Linked DNA regions of Macaca fascicularis. The protein of the gene in region 1 interacts with the protein of each later gene in a pairwise test. Links are inferred from orthologs where the notes say so. Each region holds a gene or a part of one and is shown on either strand. Other genes may lie near its edges.

Region 1 (5,261 bases):
AGTCAGGAGCTCGAGACCAGCCTGGCTGACATGGTGAAACCCCTTCTCTACTAAAAATACAAAAAATAGCCGGGTATGGTGGCAGGCGCCTGTAATACCAGCTACTCAGGAGGCTGAAGCAGGAGAATCGCTTGAATCCGGGAGGCGAAGGTTGCAGTGAGCTGAGACCTCACCACTGCACTCCAGCCTAGGCAACTCCGTCTCAAAAAAAAAAAACAAAAAACTTTCTGTTGCAATAATTTTACTTACAGAAGAGTTGCAAAGATAGAACAAATAATTCTGGTATATTCTTTCCCTAGTGTTAACATCTTACTGTGATACAGTTATCAAAACTAGAAATTAGCATTGGCATATTAATAGTAACTGAAATACAGACTTCGTTCGTATTTACCATTTTTTCCATTGATTCCCTTATGCTGTTCCAGGATCCTACTTTGCGTTTAGTTGTCATATCTTCTTATCTGAGATAGTCCCAGAGTCTTTTCTTATCTTTTATGCCCTTAATTCTTTGAAGAGGACTGGTCAGATATTTTGAAGAATATCTCTCAAGCTGGATTTGTCTGATATTTTCCCACGGTTAAATTGACTTAGTATGATTATTTCTTGTGACGGTAACCTTGTTCTCTTGGTTAAGGTGGTATCTGCCAGGTTTCTACCCTATGACAAAAGTATATTTTGAAAACATTTGTTGTTCTAGTACCTTTACAGTTTTATTTATAAATACATCTCTCTCTCTTAAGATATCTGGGCTGTATTTTAGTCTAAGATGTAAGGTATAGATTTTGGCTTTTAATGGCTAGTCAGTTGTCCAAATACCCCTTATTGACTTATCCGTCTCCATTCATTTGATGAAATGCTGCCTTTATCATGTATTAGATTTCCACATTTACTTGGTTGTATTCTAAATTTCCTGTTCTCTTCCATTGATTTGTCTTGCCTATTCATGCATCAAGACATAGCCACTTTTAGTTACTGTGCTTTATAATATGTTTTACTATGTTGTGAAACTAGTGATAAGACTCCTGTCTTCTTTTATATCCTTCAGTAGATTTTTAACACTTTCTTCCAATGGTCCTCCGTGTTTCTTGGCAAGTTTATTTTTAGGTATTTTATCTACTGGAAATGGAGTTTTGTATGCCATTTACTAACTGATTTCTTAATTCATATCTGATTCCTATTATAGTTCCCTTTACTTTGGGGCCATATGTCATTTGACTCAATTTATTGCAAAATGTATTATTTACTTATTGGATAACTATGAATACATTTTATCTTCATCATGCCCTCTTCCCTCTCCCTCCTTCAGATTAGAACCAATGTCCTTAACTGTGCAAACTTGGCCAAATTTTAATAAACTGTGTAATTAAACTTCTGGGCACTTCAGTTTCCTTATCATACTTCTTTTAGTTCAGTCCCTTCTCCAGACCCAGAGCTTTTGGTGGGGGGCACTTCATAGATTGATTCATTTATTTTCTTCTTCTCTGTGACCTAAAATTCCCTAAAACTTGGTAAGCATACTACATTACTTCTAAGAGATGGCATATTTGTTGTGTTATTTTGTGTGTAGAGAAAGGAAAATGAAAATTGCAATGGGCAAAATTCCCACAAGGAACATTCCCTGGAGTTATGATTTTGGGATACAGGATTGTTTTATGCTGAAACATGCTGCCTGCTATGTTGCTGCTCACTAGTCTCCAGGCCCTCTTAGGAGGTCTATTAAATTCTGTGCTAGCAGGGGGCCAAAACAGGCAACTTCATTTGAACTGGAAAGGTCTTGTTGCCATATGGAGGACTGCATTTCCATGTATTTTTAAGGGGGTGGGGGAATAAAGCACCAGAGGGTAAGACAATAAGGGATAGAGGTGCATCTCTTGCCTGATGACATCTTTAAAACATTGAGCTCGTCAAACATATCTGGTGATTCCACTTCTCCCTACAGGGATTCAGAGAACTGTGAGCCACATTGCCTGCCCTCAGGCTGGCACAGGGACATAAACATAGAACTAAGAACAATAAAAATTTGAACAATTTAAAGTAATTGTATTATAGACTCTGTACATTTATTAAACCTTAAGTGCACTATATAGATGTTATTTTCTATAGGGGTTCAGGAGCTGGACTAATCCCTTTTAGGCTAAAGTAGACCGGGAAGGCATCACAGAGAATGTGGAACTTTAACTGAGGATTCAGAGTTAAAGAGAACAGAGTGGATGGTGATAGGAGCCTGTCCGATTAGGGCAGCAGCATGAAAAAGTTGAGAAAAGTGAAAAGACGGTTGAAACCTGAGTCTAGCAGTCCAGTTTCTCCATTCACTGATTCTGTAATATCTGTTTAGCCCAGGGATCAGCAGACTTTCTCTTGAAGGACCAGAGAGTAAGTATTTTAGGCTTTGTGGTTATATGGTCTCTGTCACAGCTTCTTATCTACTGCTATAGTGCAAAACCAGCCATATGGAAGTGAATAGGTGGGACAGTGTTCCAATAAAACTATATTTATGGATGGTGAAATTTGAATTTCATATAGCTTTTTACAAGTCATGAAATATTATTCTTTTGGTTGTTTTTCAGCCATTTAAAAATATAAAAACCATGCTTAGCTTATGGGTTCTACAGAAATAGTCTGGTGGACCAGATTTAGCCTGTAGGCTGTAAATTTGCCGACCCCTGATTTAGCCCACTAACGTGATAAACTAGGAGTGCGTTATGCAAATAAATTATAAGTGTTTAGAGTTTCATTCTAAGAATATCCACTAGAAGATCCAAAATTGAAAGCTATGGGAGGTGAGTACAGGTTCAAATAGTTGGAAAATAATGGCTCATTATTTAAGCTTGTAAATTGATATTTGAAAAAGAATGAGTCAAAATGGTACTTTAGCCCATGCCATTGCATCTTTTAATAACCTTAGAAAGAAGGCTGGGCGCAGTGGCTCACGCCTGTAATCCCAGCACTTTGGGAAGCCAAGGTGAGCTGATCATGAGGTCACGAGAGCGAGACTACAGTGAAACTCCATCTCTACTAAAAATACAAAAAATTAGTCGGGCATGGTGGCGGGCACCTGTAGTCCCAGCTACTTGGGAGGCTGAGGCAGGAGAATGGCGTGAACCGGAGAGGTGGAGCTTGCAGTGAGCCGAGATCACGCCACTGCACTCCAGCCTGGGCGACAGAGTGAGACTCCGTCTTAATAATAATAATAATAATAACCTTAGACAGACAATTTAGTGATTGGATGTTCTTGCAAATGAATAGCATTTTCAAGGATTTATTTACTCAGGCTCCTCCTAAGAGTAGCATGTTCTGACAACAGCTATAGACTTACTAGAAAGCAATCTTTGGATATTGGTGATAGTCGAGTTGCACATTGATCTGTAAATGCTGTACTCCTTTTGCAGGCATGGTCTACATGGCTGGACTTGTTTTTGCTGTTGGTGGCTTTAATGGTTCATTAAGAGTTCGTACTGTAGATTCTTACGACCCTGTGAAGGACCAGTGGACCAGCGTTGCTAACATGAGAGACCGGAGAAGCACTTTGGGAGCTGCTGTGTTAAATGGATTGTTATACGCTGTGGGAGGCTTTGATGGGAGTACAGGTAATTTCCTTTTCATCTCTTCTACATTGCTGCTAAAATTAACGTAGTAGTCATGTTTATGGAATAAACCGTGGCATCATTAAGGCATATGTGAGGTTTTAACTGGTATTTAAAGATAAATTTAAAATTTTATCAAGAATTTCCTTAAATGATATGAGTGCTGAGTATATAAATTTTCTTTCTTATGCATCAGTATCAGTCATCAAGTTTTAAAAGCTTATAAATGTCAGTAGCTTAGGTGGGAGCCTTCTGGAAAACAAGCTGTTCCTGTTTTTCATGTAATTGATGTGTTTACATTCTGCCATTTTCTTCTCTTAATTTTAGCCCAATGTTACATACCTGAAGTATTTTTCCATATATATGAACTATTGACTTTTTTTAGAGAAGGAAATGAAGACTTGTGTTTTATTATAGGTCTATCATCTGTGGAAGCATACAACATAAAGTCTAATGAGTGGTTTCATGTTGCTCCCATGAACACAAGGAGGAGCAGCGTTGGTGTGGGTGTTGTTGGAGGTAGGTGCTGACAGTTCTTTCAGGTACATATGGCTTTTTGATCCTTGAGAGTGATTCTTCCAATAATCAAAACATTAGTTTTCTGAATGGGCAAGCTAATTATAATTTTAAAAAGAAAATCGTAATTACTGTAAAATTTCAATTATCCTCTTTTCAAAACTAGCTTCTCTATGTAAATCAACCTATATAAGGCCTTTTCTCTCCCTCTCCATCCCTCTCCCTTTATCCTCTTCGTGTGTGTGTGTGTGTGTGTGTGTGTGTGTGTGTGTGTGTGTGTGTGTGTGTGTGTGTGTGTTTGACTTATATAACAGCAGTCCCCAACCTTTTTGGCACTGAGGACCAGTTTTGTGGAAGACAATTTTTCCACGGACAGGGGTGGGTTGCGGGGCTGGTTTTGGGATGAAACTGTTCCACCTCAGATCATCAGGCGTTAGTGTGTCATAAGGAGCGCACAACCTAGGTTCCTCACGTGTGCATTTCAAGATAGGGTTCGCACTTCTGTGAGAATCTAATGCCTCTGCTGATCTGACAGGAAGCAGAGCTCAGCCGTAATACTCGCTCACCTGTCACTCACCGCCCGGTTCCTAACAGGTTCCAGACAGGTACTGGTCCATGGCCTGCGGTTTGGGGACTGCTGCTATGTAAGACTGTCAGCTGATTTTAATACAGTTGTTTGGGGGGAACAATTCAGGTGACATAAATGTGTAATTTTGTATCTGGAGAAGGGCTGTTTAACATTTAAGGGATGGATTGCCACAGTTATTTATTTATATCCTACTTTGTCTCCCAACAGAAGTTAAGGAAGGCTCTAAGTATTAATGTTTTGTTTTTTTTTTAATTGACTTGGGCAAATTTGCAGGTTTCCACCCCCTCCTCATCATATGTGTAATTCTCTGCACTTAGAAAAAAACAGCTTTGTTGAGATATAATCCATGTACCATACAATTCACCCATTTCGTGTATACAGTTCATTGTGCATCCATCACTACAATTCATTTTTTAAAACATTTTTATTATCCTCTAAAAGCAATCCTGCTTCGCTTAGCTCTTACTCCTCTCCTACCCAACCTTCAGCAACTGCTAGTCTGCTTTCTATCACTTAGAGATTTGCCTCTTCTGAACATTTTAGTTGTACGGTATGTGATCTTTGGTGACTCA
Region 2 (4,785 bases), on another chromosome or scaffold:
CCATGCCCAGCTAATTTTTGTATTTTTAGTAGAGACAGGATTTCATTATGTTGGCCAGGCTGGTCTCAAACTCCTGACCTCAAGTGATCCGCCCGCCTCGGCCTCCCAAAGTGCTGGGATTACAGGCGTGAGCCACTGGCGTGACTGCAATTTTTAAAAATAAAGCTTTTATGTTAGTATAATTTTAAATGTATAGAAAACTTGGAAAGTGCAGGGTGTTCCCCTATACCCCACCCAGTCTCCGCTATTTGAATATCTTACATTATGATGGGACATGTGTACAATTGACAAGTCATTTTTTTTTTTTTTTTTTGAGACGGAGTCTCGCTCTGTCGCCCAGGCTGGAGTGCAGTGGTGCGATCTTGGCTCACTGCAAGCTCCGCCTCCCGGGTTCACACCATTTTCCTGCCTCAGCCTCCCGAGTAGCTGGGACTACAGGTGCCCACCACCTCGCCTGGCTAGTTTTTTGTATTTTTTTAGTAGAGACGGGGTTTCACCGTGTTAGCCAGGATGGTCTCGATCTCCCGACCTCGTGATCCACCCATCTCGGCCTCCCAAAGTGCTGGGATTACAGGCTTGAGCCACCGCGCCCGGCCGACAAGTCATTATTGATAAATCACTGACTAAAGTCCACACTTTACTTGTATTTTTGCAGTTTTTACCCGTTGTCCTTTTCTGTCCCAGGATCCCACATGATTTTTTTTTTTTCCTTTTAAAGTTTTATTAAAGTTTAATGGAACAATATTTTATCTCTTTTTTTGTTAATGCCAGTACAAAAATACAGTTGATGACTTGACAAAATGGCTACACGTAGGGCTTGAAGGTTTGAGTTTCTCCAACAGTAACAAGGGAAAACATGCTTCCACCTGGAGCAGAGTCCAAGCACACAGCCAGTCCTGCACACGCATATGTGCAAACAGAGAAACCCAAGCGTGAGAAAAGGAAAGGGGTTGTAGAAATTTGCGAAGCAGGCCGGGCGCGGTGGCTCACGCCTGTAATCCCAGCACTTTGGGAGGCCGAGGCAGGCGGATCACAAGGTCAGGAGATCGAGACCACAGTGAAACCCTGTCTCTACTAAAAATACAAAAAATTAGCCGGGCGCGGTGGCGGGCGCCTGTAGTCCCAGCTACTCAGGAGGCTGAGGCAAGAGAATGGCGTAAACCCAGGAGGCGGAGCTTGCAGTGAGCCGAGATCGCGCCACTGCACTCCAGCCTGGGCGACAGAGCGAGACTCCGTCTCAAAAAACAAAACAAAACAAAACAAAACAAAAAAAAGAAATTTGCGAAGCAGCCCACAATTATTCCCAGAAGGAAAAAGGGAAAAAGCAGGCTACCCCCTTGATAGGGGGTAGAATTAGTGATTTACACTTAGAATTTGTTGTTGTTGTTGTTGTTGTTGTTTAATGATAAGCTATTTCTGCAATTTTAACATTGTAGAAAAGATGCTACTAGTCTTCTTTTACCACTAAGGTGAGTAAAGTGGGAGGAAATGGGAAAAGACTCAAATACTTAAGTGCGAGGAGTAAACCTCCAAGTGGCTCAAGTTTTGTGTCAGAAGGTTTCATTTTTTACATTCAATGACAAATTGACATTTAGGTGAGAGGGAAAAAGAGAAGAAAGTCTGCCGCTCTCTGCTGGATCCACAAACATGCAGACCAGCTTGTGTTAGCAGAACTCTTCCACAGTGAGAGCACTCCTTCCAGTGTAGGCAGGAATGAGGTTTCCTGGTCGGCTTAATTGTTCTAGATGATTCCTCAATATTCCCTCCCCTGCTGCATTCCTTCCAGAACACTAACTCTGATGAAAGAAGGGGCACATTCATGTTACAATTTATCTTCAAGATGTTTCCTTCTGAAGGCATCACCCGTCAGCCTTTCCTGAGCTTCCTTCATCCCCTGAACAACTTGCTCGGCACTGATGTAGAAATACTTGTAGCTGGGGTTTCCATTCTCATTGATGATTTCAGGATGCACCTTGCCACTGGGATCCAGAAAAAGGATTCGTGGAATATAACCCCCGTCTGGGCTGAAATCTTCATCTTTGGGTTCCTCTTCATCCTCAAGATTTACCATAACAAAATTATGGGAGAGTTCTGAAATTTCTGTAGATTCTGCAAATTTGGGCTTTAGAGCTTTGCAAGCTCCACACCAGGATTTATGAATAATCACCATCAGGGGCAGTCCACTGGCAGCTGCTTCTTTCTTCCCATCTTCCAGTGTCCTCCAATGAATATGATCTCCAAAACCCTTTCCAAGCCCATTATGTCCATCAGAGGAGATGACGAGGAGCAGGAAACTGAAGCCCAGCAAACAGGTGGCCCCGAGACGAGGCCGCGAATCCATGGCAGTAGGTGCGCGGGGCCACGGGGCTGAGCGGACGGAGGGCCGGAGTCCCAGCAGACGGTCCACACCGTTCCCCGAGCGCGGCTCAGCACAACCCCGATCCCACATGATTTTTAGGCTGTGGGTCTCAGGCTCGTTTGGGCTGTGAGTTTCTCAGACTCTCCTTGTTTTTAATGACCTTCGAGTTTTGGGGAGAGCTGGTCAGGGATTTTACAGAATGGCCCCTGTTGGACTTGCCTGATACTTTTCTCGTGATCAGACCGTGGGGTGGTTTTAGGAGGAAGACCACAGAGGTAAAGTGCTCTTCTCACCCCATCCTGTCTGCGGTCCACATTGTCCCTGTGACCTCTCACTGGTGGTGCTGCTGGCCTTGGTCCCCTGGCCGAGGTGGAGGGTCAGGCTTCCCTGTGAAGTGGCCCGTCCCCTGTGTTCTCTGGCAGGAAGTCGCTTTGCTGAGCCCACACGGAAGGGGTGGGGAGTTTCGCTCGCCCTCCTTTAGAGACGAGCATCTATACAAGTTATTTGGAATTCTTCTACACAGGAGATTTGTCTGTTCACCCTCATTTGTAATTTTTTTTTTTTTTTATTTGAGACAACATCTCACTCTGTTGCCCAGGCTGGAGTGCAGTGGCATAATCTCGGCTCACTGCAAACTCTGCCTCCTGGGTTCAAGCGATTTTCCTGTCTCAGCCTCCTGAGTACCTGGGACTACAGGTGCACGCCACCACACCTGGCTAATTTTTGTATTTTAGTAGAGATGGGGGTTTCACCATGTTGTCCAGGCTGGTCTCAAACTCCTGACCTCAAGTGATCTGCCTGCCTCAGCCTCCCAAAGTGCTGGGATTACAGTTGTGAGCCACCGCACCTGGCCCCACTTATTAATTTTTTCAATCATTTATTATAGTGGACTCATGGATATTTATTTACACTTCGAGTTATTATTCAATACTAGTTGGCTTATTTTGTTGCTCTCATTGTCGCAGCTTTGGCCACTGGGAACTTCAGGTGGCTCTTGCATCCCTGTGTCATTGCCCATCACTTTGTCTTGTGAGCACGTCCTTATTTCTGGCCCTATAAACTGCTCCAGCCTCATCTTGTCTCTTTCCTTGTCCAGTCCTAGAATCAGCCATTTCTGCAAGAAGCCCCGGTTCTTTTTCTTGGAGAGTGGTCTTAGAAGGCCAAGGTCTGGGAGCCGGGTGTGCTCGTCACTACTGGGCTGTTTCTGGTCTTCTCAGCCAACAGAGCAAGGAAGCGTGTAGTGTATGTCAGCGGGTGTGTAATCTACACACTGTCTATACATAGTAACCATTGGTGTCCTGGGTCATACTGATGTCTCTACCTCTAGTGGAGCCTCTTGCCCCCCCGCACTTGCTGATTGTAACCTCCCCTCCAGCAGTGAGGATGCGGCCCCATCGTCTGCTGTCCCTGGTTTAGCTCCCGTGTGTGTGTAAGGTGTGTAAGGTGCTGTCACAGTGAATAACCCAAACCCCATGGGAAGAACACCACCAGTGCTGTGCCATGCTCTGGGACAGCCCCTCTGCACGGGCTCCACTCCTGCCCAGGGCTACTCGGGACAGCTCCTCTGCCTCTAGGCTGACGGGCCCCACTCCTGCCCAGGGCTACTCGGACAGCACCTCGCCCTCCACCTCTGATTGTATTTCTAACTTACCATCTCCTGTGAGTGAGGCTGAACATCTTTTATTTTCTTTTTCTTTTTTTTTTGAGATGGAGTCTTGCTCTGTTGTCCAGACTGGAGTGCAGTAGCGCAACCTTGGCTTACTGCAACCTCCGCCTCCCAGTTCAAGCGATTCTCCTGCCTCAGCCTCCTGAGTAGCTGGGATTACAGGTGTGTGCCACCATGCCCGGCTAACTTTTGTATTTTTTTTTTTTTTTTTTAGTAGAGACGAGGTTTCACCATGGTGGCCAGGCTGGTCTCGAACTCCCAACCTCAGATTATCTGCCCACCTTGGCCTCTCAAAGTGCTAGGATTACAGGCATGAGCCACTGCACCCAGACACATCTTTTCATTTTTTTTTTTTTTTTTGAGACGGAGTCTCACTCTGTCACCCAGGCTGGAGTGCAGTGGCCGGATCTCAGCTCACTGCAAGCTCAGACTCCCGGGTTTACGCCATTCTCCTGCCTCAGCCTCCCAAGTAGCTGGCACTACAGGCGCCCACCACCTCGCCTGGCTAGTTTTTTGTATTTTTAGTAGAGACGGGGTTTCACCGTGTTAGCCAGGATGGTCTCGATCTCCTGACCTCGTGATCCACCCGCCTCGGCCTCCCAAAGTGCTGGGATTGCAGGCTTGACTTAAGAGCCATGTATATTTCCATATTTCCTTTTCTATGACTTGTCCATGTTCTTTGCTAATCTATCTTTCTTTCTTTCTTTCTTTCTTTCTTTCTTTCTTTCTTTCTTTTCTTTCTTTTCTTTCTTTTCTTTCT
Region 3 (5,835 bases), on another chromosome or scaffold:
TGGTAAGAGATCAGCTCACTGCAACCTCCACCTCCCGGATTCGAGTCATTCTCCTGCCTCAACCTCCCGAGTAGCTGAGATTACAGGCGCACGCCACCATGCCTGGCTAATTTTGTATTTTTAGTAGAGATGCAGTTTCACCACGTTGGTCAGGCTGGTCTCGAACTCCTGACCTCAGGTGATCCACCCACCTCGGCCTCCCAAAGTACTGGGATTACAGGCGTGAGCCACTGTGCCCAACCTCAGCTGTCTGGGTTCTTGAGGGAGGTGGAAGAGGTGGATGGCTGCTGAGAGGGCATGTACCAGGGTCCTACCCAAACAGAAGGTGCACAGGCCAGGGACAGAAGAGCTAAGGAGTGTGTGTCGGTGCTCACAGTGTGTGAGCTTGACAGCAGCCGGGACTGTCTTGGAGTGCTGCCACATTCCCCATGAGTGAGTTTGTATTGTGCATCCTGGGATGCTCCGGTGTGGGTGGAATCTGCACGTGAGCTTGTGTGCCTTGCAAACCTTCCCTGAGCACCTGCACTGTGTCTGGTCTTGTGCTGGGTGGGGTACCCAGGGCAGGGGCCCTTAGCTCACCACAGTGATCAAGACATCCCTGGTCCTGCCCTGCACTCACAGGCTCACAGTCCCCAGCCAGGGACCCTCAGAGCATGCAGGGCTGAGGCTGGGGAGCCCAGAGGGGGAATCTGACCCAGCCAGGGAAGGCAGAGGGGACTTCCTGGAGGAGGGGATGGTACAGGTAATCCTAAAGGTAATCTTTTCCGATGTAACAGTTGCTCCCTAGGATGGACGCAGTGGCTCATGCCTGTAATCCCAGCACTTTAGAAGGCGGGAGGATCACTTGAGCCCAAGAGTTGGAGACCAGCCTTGGCAACATAGTAATACCCTGTTTCTATTACAAAAAAAAAAAAAAAAAAAAATACAAAAATTAGCTGGACATCGTAGCACAAGCCTGTAGTCCCAGCTACTTGGGAGGCTGAAGTGGAAGGATCACTTGAGCCAAGGCGGTCGAGGTATCAGTGAGCTATGATTGCGCCACTGCACTCCAGCCTGGGTGACAGAGCGAGACCCTCTTAAAAAAAAAAACAAAAAAACAAAACAAAAAAAAACCACGTTGCTCTCCTGTGTGACCAATACATAAAGTAACCTTGACCAATCTAATAACTCCCAGGCTGACCTGTAATCCAAGCCTTCTCTGTGTATTGGAGCAGGCAAAGCCCAGATCCAGGGCTACCCCAACCCCCAGGCTGATGAGAAGCCTGGGGAACCTCTCCCAGTGTGGCCAGTGACCCCCCACCCTCCCACGTTCTGACCACTGTCCCGGGCAACTAGTGACATCTAGTGGGGGGTTTTGTCCCAGTCTGACCTGGCCTGTAGGGGCCTTGGGCGGTCGGACCTGGGACCCACCCTTCCTAGCAGTGGCTGGACTCCTCCCCCTTCCCGCAGGTGCCCTGGCTTCTTCCCCTGGCCTCCTCACCTGCTCCGGCCAGCCTGACTCCTCCCCTCCCCACAAGGTTGGGAGGGAATGAAGGAGAGAGCGGGAAGGAGGAAGGGAGGGTGGCATTCCTGGGATTCCCTGGACAGGGGGAAGAGTGGGAGGGCCTTCCACGGGTAAGCAAGCGAGAGGGCACCCCATACCCCACCCCCAGCCCCATTATCAAAGCGGTCTAGGAGGAACTGGATTTGAAGACCATTGAAGATAAAAGATTAAACTGGTTGATTCCAGGCTACTGGTTAGACGAGGAACCAGAGCACTGACCACAGGGGAAAACGTCTCCGGGCATACTGGGAACAGCTGCTGGGGGCCACTGGTCAGGCTGCGGGGGTCACTGGTTGGACTGGGAGAGGCCAGTGCAGGCCACTCAGACGGCACACTTGGGGCCATTAGTTACACTGGGAGAGGCCATCGCAGGCCACCGGTTGCAGTGGCGTCGGCTGGTTAAAATCGACAATGCCAGCCTAGGCTGCTGGTCACAGTGGGGACGAGTCCCCAGGGCCCCTGGTCAGAATAACGGGGAGAGGGTCCGCGATTGCCTGGTGAGATCCCAGCTCGGGTCACCGGCTACACTGGTCCATCAGGCCTCCCCGCTGCGGGCGCTGGTCAGTAAGCCTGGACAGTCCTGGGCTTGGGGGCGGAGGAGCCCCGAGCCTGGCCCCGTGCACTGGGAGGTCCCCTCCGGGCAGTGGGAGGTCCTGGCCCCGCGCCCGGACTTGGTGGGGACGAGGGGGGCCTGGAGGGCGGGGCGGGGCGGGGCTGCCGGGGGCGGGGCCTCTAGCTCCCAGCCCCGCTGCGGCCGAGCTGCAGCCGGGGCTCAGTCGCCGCCGCCGCCGTGAACATGGAGCCCCCGGACGCACCGGCCCGGACGCGCGGGGCCCCGCGGCTGCTGTTGCTCGCAGTCCTGCTGGCTGCGCACCCAGGTATGGCTCGGGCTGAGGGCAAGGTGGGACTCGGGGGAGGCCCCTGGGGACCCCGGGAAAGCAAAGAGAAAGGGCTTTACCCTGACCCCAGGAAGCAAAATGTGGGGACCCCAAGAAGGAGGAATATGGGAGTGTTGGAAGGTACACCTTCCAGTGAGAGATCTGGGGACAGCCAGGCAAGAGAGCTGGGGATACCCAGGCGGTGGATCAGAGACAACTAGAGAAGTCAGCCCCCTTTCCACTCAGCACCCTGGAATCTGCGTCCCACCTGCCTCCTTCCTCAGACCCTGGAATTTGGGCCCCCAGCCCTCTTTCCTCAGAGCCAGGAGTCCAGGCCTCCAGTGGCTAGAATGGCTTCCCCCAGGGCACAGAGGATCAAAACCCCAGGGCTTCCTCCCTCAAAGGTTCTCAAGTTTTAAGAGGTCCAGGGACCCCTTAGAGAAGCGAGGACCATGTTTCCCCACACCAGCGATCCGTACATATTTAGGAGTTTCCAGAGTCCAGTATAAAGAACCCGCCTCCCTCAGGAAAGGGCTGGAGCACCAGCCCTGGGCAGTGACAGTGGAACAAAGTGTTTCCAAGTGACAGGCCCCCTTCCTGGGGCCTCAGCTACATTTACACACCTGCATGGGCATGGCGATAGAAGGAGAGGAGGCCCTGGGTGGGGGGCTGGGGACAGAGGGACAGAGAGATGTGAGAGAGATTGGGGATGAGAGAGGACCTCTCTGCCTCCACTTGCTGTCTGCAGCTCAGACCCAGCCTTAGGCACCAGCCTGGCCCCCATCACCCCTCCCTGGGGACAAGCTGGGGCCAGAGGTGAGTGCCTGGGAATCCAGGCCCCTGGCACACTCATGGTCAGTAGTGGGTCCCCAGGGGCGGGGCTGGGCCAGATTGAGCGGAGAAGGGAAGGGAGTATCTAAGAAGCACTGAGAGCTGATGCCAGGATGCCAGACCAGAGGGTGAGGGAGGGTGGTGGTTTTTCTACAAGAACTACTCCACCCAGGCCCCAGCCTCCTCTTCCCTCTGATCCCAGGAGTCCAGGCACTCAGCTTCCCAAGATCCTGGGCCTCAACCTTATCCTGTTGCACGATGACTCACCTTATATCCCGTTTGCTGTTGTATCAAACGGAGAGGGGGGCCAAGAGGCGGTTGGGGGCTCTGGCTCCAGGCCGGGCAGGTCTCAGCCAGCCTGTCCCTCCCACATTCCTGAAACCTGCCCAGCCCTGTCCCCCCTCACCACCCCCACACACCTATCCCGCCTAAGCTCCGGGCCCAGCCGCAGCCCACACCCCAGCCCCTCACTCATGGGAAAGAGGAAGAGACCCAGGGACTGAACGGTGCAGGTGCAGAGAGAGAGGCAGAGACAGGGACAGAGATGAAGACCCAAGAGGAGAGACACACGCAGAGGTGGAGACAGGGATGGAGAGAGACATTTATCCATCATCATGGAGGTGGCCCTGCCCAGGGTGCTGGAGGCAAATGACTGAGCCAGGCCTGGCCCTGCCCTGGGGGGTGGCATGTGCTCTGTTGGGAGAAGCAAGGGCCGGTGCAATATTACCCCAGGGCCCTGTGCAGCCCAGAGGAGGAGCCCTGAGCTCTGCAAGTGCAGGGAGGGTTGGATTTGAGACCCAGAGATGCAGGGAGAAGGGATGGAGGGCGAAAGGATCTCAGGGAGGAGGGGCTGGGGGCCTGGACTCCTGGGTCTGAGGGAGGAGGGGCTGGGGGCCTGGACTCCTGGATCTGAGGGAGGAGGAGCTGGGGGACTGGACTCCTGGGTCTGAGGGAGGAGGGGACAGGGGCCCAGACTCCTGGATCTGAGGAAGGAGCTGGAACCTGGACTCCTGGGTCTGAGGGAGGAGGAGACAGGGGCCCAGACTCCTGGATCTGAGGAAGGAGGAGCTGGAACCTGGACTCCTGGGTCTGAGGGAGGAGGGGCTGGGACCTGAACGCTTGGGTCCTGGGGGAGACAGGACCCTGTCTGGAGGGCTCTTCCTGTTGGTGTGGTGGACAATAGCTCAGATGCCCTCTTGCAGATGCCCAGGCGGAGGTGCGCTTGTCTGTGCCACCGCTGGTGGAGGTGATGCGAGGAAAGTCTGTCATTCTGAACTGCACCCCTACGGGAGCCCATGACCATTATGTGCTGGAATGGTTCCTTGTGAGTGCTTGGGGCTGGGGGGCCTGGAGTCAGGGCACAGCAGGGCAGCAAATGTTCATTCTCTCATCAGTGCCTAAGGTCTGTAGAGATCCACCAAGCCACACCCCTTGTTACAGATGGGGTCACTGAGTCCCACTGAGGAGAAGGGATTTGCAAGGTGCCCCATGTCTGGGCACAGCTGAGTCTAGAATGACGTTGACCTGCTCTGGACTGTGGGCTCTTGAGAGAGAGAACAGAGACAGACACCAAGAAAGCAGGAGAGGCTGGGTGCGGTGGCTCATGCCCGTAATCCCAGCACTTTAGGAGGCCCAGGCGGGTGGATCACCTGAGGTCAGGAGTTCGAGACCAGCTTGGCCAACATGGCGAAACCCCGTCTCTACAAAAATACAATAAAAAATACGGTAGTCCCAGCTACCCAGGAGGCTGAGGTAGGAGAATCGCTTGAACTTGGGAAGCGGAGGTTGCAGTGAGCCAAGATCGTGCCACTGCACTCCACCCTGGGGAAAAAGAGCGAAACTCCATCTCAAAAAGAAAAAGAAAAAAAGAAAGCAGGAGACTCGAGGGGTCAGGGAGGACTAACGAGGAGAGAAGGCTAGGCGCAGTGGCTCACACTTGTAATCCCAGCACTTTGGGAGGCCTTGGTGGGTGGATCACAAGGTCAAGAGATCAAGACCGTCCTGACTAACATGGTGAAACCCTGTCTCTACTAAAAATACAAAAATTAGCCGGGCGTGGTGGTGCGTGCCTGTAGTCCCAGCTACTCGGGAGGCTGAGGCAGGAGAATCGTTTGAACCTGGGAGGCGGAGGTTGCAGTGAACCGAGATCAAGCCACTGCACTCCAGCCAGGTGACTTGTCTCTCTCTGCTTGAGAGACAAGCAGAGAGGGAGAGATGGGGAGGAAGAGGGATGGAACTGGAATGAGATGGAGAAAAGGAGACAGGAAAAATCAAGAACTGATAGGGAATGGGGGCAGAAGGTGGAGAGGGACAGAGGGACAGAGGGACCAGGGAAACCCATAACAAGAGGAAAAGAGGCAGAGCCAGGAGCTGCAGAGAGAAAGGGCCCAGAGAGAGAGAGAGAGAGACTGAGGAGCGCTGGGACACCAGGAGCTGAGAGACTCCCGTGTGCCCGCAGACCGACCGCTCGGGAGCTCGCCCCCGCCTGGCCTCCGCCGAGATGCAGGGCTCTGAGCTCCAGGTCACAATGCACGACACCCGGGGCCGCAGTCCCCCATACCAGCTGGACTCCCAGGGGAGCCT
Region 4 (5,906 bases), on another chromosome or scaffold:
TTCACAGTGAAATAAGAAAAATTAGTGTGACATATTGTTCATCATGAGGCTGTTCAATTCAAGGAACTGTCCTTTATTCAAAAATGAATCTTCCCCCATTTCTGAGGTTAAAATACTTTTTAATAAATGATGGGCATAATCTATGCTAGTTGTTCCTTTTTAATACTCTTGCCAATATAAAGTTGCCAAACCTATATTGACTCCCTTGCTTATCAGAAAATATTTTATTAGTCTGAGAGATCCAAATGTCGGCGACTGGCTTAGTTTCCAAATATGACTCATTTTATAAAAGCATACAAGTGCTTTTGTTGTTGTTGTTTTTTAGAAACCTATCTATTGAATAAAGGAAGTAGTATAACCTTGGCTTTAATGCCCATGTTAATGACAGCCAACAGGTGGTAAGTTGCTGCTCCATGCCTAGCTCTCAGGGCTTTTCAAAACATATTCATCCATTTAAATTTCACAGTAGCCCAAGGAGGAAGTATTGTTATTGTCTCCGTTTCACAGATGAGGAATTCTAGGGATTGTCAACTCCATGCCCCAAAGGATGCACAACACAGCTAGCAAAGTGGCAGAATTGAGATTCAAACAATGGCTCCAAGAACATATATTCTTTTTTAAAATGTATTTTTTTGGTTTCTTTTTTTGATTCCTCAGAGATCCCTACTCTGAACATATATTCTTACATTACTAAGAAACTGGGTCATATGAGAGTACAACCAAGAGAAAAACATTGTTATTATATTATAATGTTATGGAAATGGAGGTTCAATTAGCATAGAGATTATAAACTCCTCTTCAAGACTGACATTATCTTACACTGAAGTCAGAGCCTCTCCCAATGTTAGTTTATCAACTCAATTCTTGATAACCTATTTTTAGCTTCAGTATTTGCAGATACTGTCTTAAGCAACATTGTTGCTTAAGCTCCTGCTTTAATTAGCCAATTCCAAAAATCTCCCACAAAAAAAACCCCAAGAAAATACGGTATTTGCAATGGAGTGTTTCAACCAAGAAGGGGCTTTAAGCGCAACACTCAAAAGCTTAGACATCAGGATTAAGTTAATTTAGGGCAAATTCAACCTTATAGTCAACAAATAAGTGTATTTCACTTTATATTAAGTTTGTTATGTAAAAGTATTAAAATACCAGCTTCTAAATGTAGCTATCCATCCCCCAAACAGATGCTTCTTTAAAATAGGAAGAACACAAACTTTAGTTGGAACTCACATATTCCCTTGCAGAGTCAGAAACCCAAACATAACAGCAATTGGGCAAGTAGGTAAATGAGGAAGTACAATTCATAATAAATGGACAGCAAAACCGATGAGTCAAATTAGACATTTTGACTATAAAGCGACCAAACGCCTCTCCCCAAAAACCAAAAGCCAAAACCTTTTCAAATATACAGCAACTGAATCAGACGGTAATTTTGGCTTTAAAAATCTACAATACTCTTGGTAATGCTAGAAATGATTTATCTGGTAGGTTAAAGTTAGGTATCTATCATTCCACTTAACATCATTTACCAAATGCTGCATTTCATTAATGGAGCTGTCAGTTTATTCTGATGGTAATGAAAAACAGGTTTTAACATTAATAAGCCCTGGGTCCACCAGAAAATAACAGTGAATCAAGAGGTCCTGAGGTTTATGCAGTTTAAGGTAACTCTGTAGATTAAATTTCCACCCTCCAGTCCTGAGAGCTGTGGTGTACACCCTCAGTCCGAATACCTTGTTGAGCATACAGGACAGTCATTTCCGACACTGCAGGTATCTCCTGCACAGACTCTTCATTCAAGTTGCTGGCTTCTGCTCAAGTACCCATCCCTAGCCCACATGCCCTAGAAAAACACAGGAACCAGTTCGGGACGTAGTTATGCATCCAGCACCCCACGCTACTCCCCAAGACTATCCTCCTGCCATCCCAGCTCAGTGGGGCCCAGCCCACTACAATCCAGCTCCCGCTCTCCGAACTTCCCCCGCCCACTCTCCCCACGTGACCAGGACCCTCCCAACCGCCGCCTCGAGTTCCACCAATCAGCAACCACCTCCGCCCAGAATCCGGGACCTGGCGCTCCTCTTTCAAAAAGGCAGCTTAATCCTCCCGCCCTCAGCCACGCCCCCTTTCCGCTTCCCCGCCCCGCCGGTCCCTCCCACTTCCCTCAATTCCCTGTTCCCCTCCTCCCCTCCGGTGGCGCCCTCCCGCTCCCGGGCTTCGCCCCGCCCCACCAGGGCAGCGCGCTCGCTCTCTTCTCGCGAGATCTGAGCGTCCCCGCCGCGGCCGCCGGGCTCCCCCTCCCGTCCTCCCACCTCCCTCCCCCGGCATCTCTCACTCTCCGGCTCTCCTCCCTCCCTCCTCCCCCCTCCACCCTCTGGGCCGGATCTCGTCTCGCTCAGGCGGAGGAGGAGAAGGAGGAGGAGGAGGACGACGTTCGGCCTGCGCAGTGAGATGTTTGTCCGTCGCCGCCGCCGCCGCCATCGCGGAGGAGCGCGATAAAGGGAGCAGAGCCGGGCGTGAGGGGGACCCTGCGGAGCCACCGCGCCAGCGCAGCCCCCCAGCCGCGTCGGAGCAGCCGGAGCCCGAGCCGCCGCCCCCGCCGCCGCCGCGGCTGCCCAGGGGCCGGCCAGCTCCCCAGCCCTGCCCGGGGGCCGCGCCGCCCCCAGCGTCGCCCCTCGCCTGCCTGCCCGCCTTAAATGTGACACCGGCGTCGCGGAGCGCGACCTGAAGCCGCCGCCGGGGAGGGGACGAGCACCATGTCGAATCTGAGCAAAGGCACGGGCAGCCGGAAGGACACCAAGATGCGGATCCGGGCCTTTCCGGTGAGTCTCTCCTCGGCGTCCGGGACCCCGGGGCCGGGGGCCGGGCCGAGAGCCGCACGCGAGGCCCGGGCTGAAGTCCCCCAACAGGCCGCAGGCCCGGCCTCCCCTCCCCCACGCTCGCCGGCCGCGGGGCGCGAGCCTTCCCGGCAACCGGGCGGCGCGGGGCCCCGGCGCGGCCGCCCTCCCGGGCCGTTCCCCGCGCCGGGAGTCCGGGCCTGGCGCCGCGCCCCCGTCCGGGAGTTGCTTCTTGAGCCGCTCCACGGGCGTCGGCTGCGGCCGGGGCCCCTCGGCCGCCCCACGCCTCCCCACGTTGCTGGGGTTGTAGGCCCAGGCTCCGGCGCTGTTAGCAGCGGCGAAGTCCTCCCTGTGTGGGGCGTGTGTGGAACTTTTCACGTGGGGTTTCGTTACACTTTCAAAAATTACCCAGTCTAGCTTGTAGGGTGATGAAGGGGCTGCCCTCTCACTCTGCCCCCCTCCCCAGGCGGGGCTGTGCCATCAACCTGCCCCCGAAGCAGTGACAGTGGTTCCACGGAATGCTCAGTGGTCATAAACTAGTAACATTGGGTGTATTTCTAGCGTCTTTCATCCTACAAGCCTCCTAAACACTTTACAAACTGTTGTGCAGGATTGCCTCGCCACTCGGAGGAAGGCCGGGTGGGAGGAAGCAACAGAGATCAAACCGGACAATTGGTTCTCCATTTCTCAGCCTTGGGAGCCCAAAGAATGAGTGTAGTCGCCTTGCAGAGTTGCTTTCTTTCATCACTTTCAGTGACAGCAAACGTGTTGTGTTCAGAAACCTTTTCTTTTTTGGCATTACGTTGTGTCGTAGCCTTGTGGTGTTTAGCATATAGGGTATAACTTTGGGTGTCATATCTGGTTCGTCCACACTATGGCAAGCAATTAAAATGTATTGTTGTTAACAAACTGGACATACTTGCCTATGTCGCTACAATAAAAGGCGTACGTCAAGACAGACGAACTAGCAATCGGACAGAAGATTTTAAAAAACAAAATTAGAGAAAGATCTTGGTCTTCCCTTCTTAGATTCATAAATACTTCGTATGATGTGCAGGCGAAAGAGGGAAGTTTGTTGTCACTTTTTAAAGAGAGCTTTTCCTGAAGTGCAGTTGCCTGAGAAAATACTTATATTAATATGATTGCCCCAGTTGAGTCAAGTAATTTAGTCTCAGAGAACATGAGGACCTCTCTGAATTCCTAAAATTTAAAAGGATACAGCTCATGCAGAATTCTGAAATTGCAAGAACATAAATACTAAAATCAGTGTGCGAAAACCTCTGCTTTGTGTAAATAGGTACGGTGTATTTAGGAGAATTAAGTGTTTTGATAATAATTAAAGATTTTTGGAATGTTTCGAACTTTTTTCTAAGTAAACATGAGAAATGTTGACAATAGAGTACTAACGAAGCTTACTAGTATGTTTTCCCTTATGATTGGGCACAGAGCTGGGTTATGAATTTGTGATTAATATTAATTTTCCTACTAAATTCTGATCACTTTAGAGTTTAGAACTACTTAGAATTTTATGAAGTTAATAGTTTTATACGACAGGTTTTCTTTTTCTTTTCTTTTTTTTTTTTTTTTTTTGAGACAGTTTCGCTCTTGTTGCCCAGGCTGGAGTGCAATGGCGCGATCTCAGCTCCCAGCAACCTCCGCCTCCTGGGTTAAAGCGGTTCTCCTGCCTCAGCCTCTGAGTAGCTGGGATTACAGGCAGGCGCCACTATACCCGGCTAATTTCGTATTTTTAGTAGAGACGAGGGTTCTCCCTATTGGTCAGGCTGGTCTCGAACTCCCGACCTCAGATGATCCACCCACCTCGGCCTCCCAAAGTGCTGGGATTACAGGCGTGAGCCACCGCGCCCGGCCTATACAACAGATTTTCTAGGAGTGTTTGCGGCCTTACACTACTCAATTCTTGAAGTCTTACGTTCTGAATAAGATTTTTTGCTAAAATGTGGAGGAACTCAAATTTGACATCAACTCACTCAAGTGAATGGCGTTCTGATTGACCAGCTGTACGTTCATCTATGTGTAATCAAACTCTGACCACTTCAGGTTTCCCTGCTCTTGCCTGTTTTGCCATCATTTAATTTGTTCAGTAAATATTGAATGTTATGTGCCAGGCACTGTTCTGGGTGTCTGTCAGGATAGCTAGAAAGACCGAGATCCCTGCCTTCTGGAGCTAATATTGTTGGGGAGAAGAGGTGGGAGAGAATTTCATTATTCCTTTAGCTGACTAGTATAATAACGTTGTGTGATACGTTACCACATAATACTGGAACTTAATTTTTTTTTTAGCTTCGTTATGATTATGAGCTAATTTGGACCCATTCTGTCTATGACTTTGCAGGTTTTTCTGAAAACCTTACAGAAGTAAGTGACTAGTTTTGATATTCAGTAGTTAATAGCTGCTGATTTCTAAAAGAATTTTTCATTACTGTTTAATAAGTATTAATAACATTCATAAGTAGTTCCCATTGAAAAGAACTATTATAGTTTATGACCCTTTGTTACAAATATATATATATCTCAGTGGTAGGGTATTTCATAGTTTTATCTTGTTAACCGTGTGCTTATGGACCTTCAGAATTCCTGTCTTCCAGATTAGCAGTCTTGTGCATAACTACAGACTGCATGAGTTGCTGGTCAAAAGTAGTTAATGCATAGTATGCCATAAGGAAAAAATATGGCTGGGTGCAGTGGCTCACGCCTGTGATCCCAGCACTTTGGGAGGCGGAGGCAGGTGGATCACCTGAGGTCAGGAGCTTGAGACCAGCCTGGCTGACATGATGAAATCCCATCTCTACTTAAAATACAAAAAAATCACGGGGTGTGGTGGTGGATGCCTAGTAATCCCAGCTACTTGGGAGGCTGAGGCTGGAAAATCGCTTGAACCTGTGAGGCCGAGGGTGCAGTGATCTGAGATAGCGCCATTGCGCTCCAGCCTGGGCAACAAAAGCAAAACTGTCTCAAAAAAAAAAATTGTTTATGGTTATACATATGTACATCCTTAATTGTTTATGGATCCACATATGTACGTATTTTAAAATAACTGTATTTTACATC

The links.
Region 2: the proteins of KLHL2 (region 1) and TXNDC12 interact in binary tests that used the Homo sapiens proteins (3 or more experiments, as listed by UniProt). The two-hybrid records come from large-scale screens. The link is inferred for Macaca fascicularis from reciprocal best matches to the Homo sapiens genes KLHL2 and TXNDC12.
Region 3: the proteins of KLHL2 (region 1) and BCAM interact in binary tests that used the Homo sapiens proteins (3 or more experiments, as listed by UniProt). The two-hybrid records come from large-scale screens. The link is inferred for Macaca fascicularis from reciprocal best matches to the Homo sapiens genes KLHL2 and BCAM.
Region 4: the proteins of KLHL2 (region 1) and CUL3 interact in binary tests that used the Homo sapiens proteins (3 or more experiments, as listed by UniProt). The two-hybrid records come from large-scale screens. The link is inferred for Macaca fascicularis from reciprocal best matches to the Homo sapiens genes KLHL2 and CUL3.

Annotation. Positions count from the first base shown.
Region 1 is NC_088379.1:170,206,909-170,212,169, forward strand, and holds part of KLHL2 (kelch-like protein 2), read left to right. Parts: intron 1-3,389; coding exon 3,390-3,587; intron 3,588-4,001; coding exon 4,002-4,103; intron 4,104-5,261. UniProt on the Homo sapiens protein: Substrate-specific adapter of a BCR (BTB-CUL3-RBX1) E3 ubiquitin ligase complex that mediates the ubiquitination of target proteins, such as NPTXR, WNK1, WNK3 and WNK4, leading most often to their proteasomal degradation.
Region 2 is NC_088390.1:87,630,697-87,635,481, reverse strand, and holds TXNDC12 (thioredoxin domain-containing protein 12), read right to left. Parts: upstream 2,440-4,785; 5' UTR 2,342-2,439; coding exon 1,823-2,341; 3' UTR 1,219-1,822; downstream 1-1,218. UniProt on the Homo sapiens protein: Protein-disulfide reductase of the endoplasmic reticulum that promotes disulfide bond formation in client proteins through its thiol-disulfide oxidase activity.
Region 3 is NC_088393.1:52,840,182-52,846,016, forward strand, and holds the start of BCAM (basal cell adhesion molecule), read left to right. Parts: upstream 1-2,317; 5' UTR 2,318-2,339; coding exon 2,340-2,421; intron 2,422-4,454; coding exon 4,455-4,576; intron 4,577-5,710; coding exon 5,711-5,835. UniProt on the Homo sapiens protein: Transmembrane glycoprotein that functions as both a receptor and an adhesion molecule playing a crucial role in cell adhesion, motility, migration and invasion.
Region 4 is NC_088386.1:120,533,006-120,538,911, reverse strand, and holds the start of CUL3 (cullin-3), read left to right. Parts: upstream 1-2,388; 5' UTR 2,389-2,756; coding exon 2,757-2,822; intron 2,823-5,906. UniProt on the Homo sapiens protein: Core component of multiple cullin-RING-based BCR (BTB-CUL3-RBX1) E3 ubiquitin-protein ligase complexes which mediate the ubiquitination and subsequent proteasomal degradation of target proteins.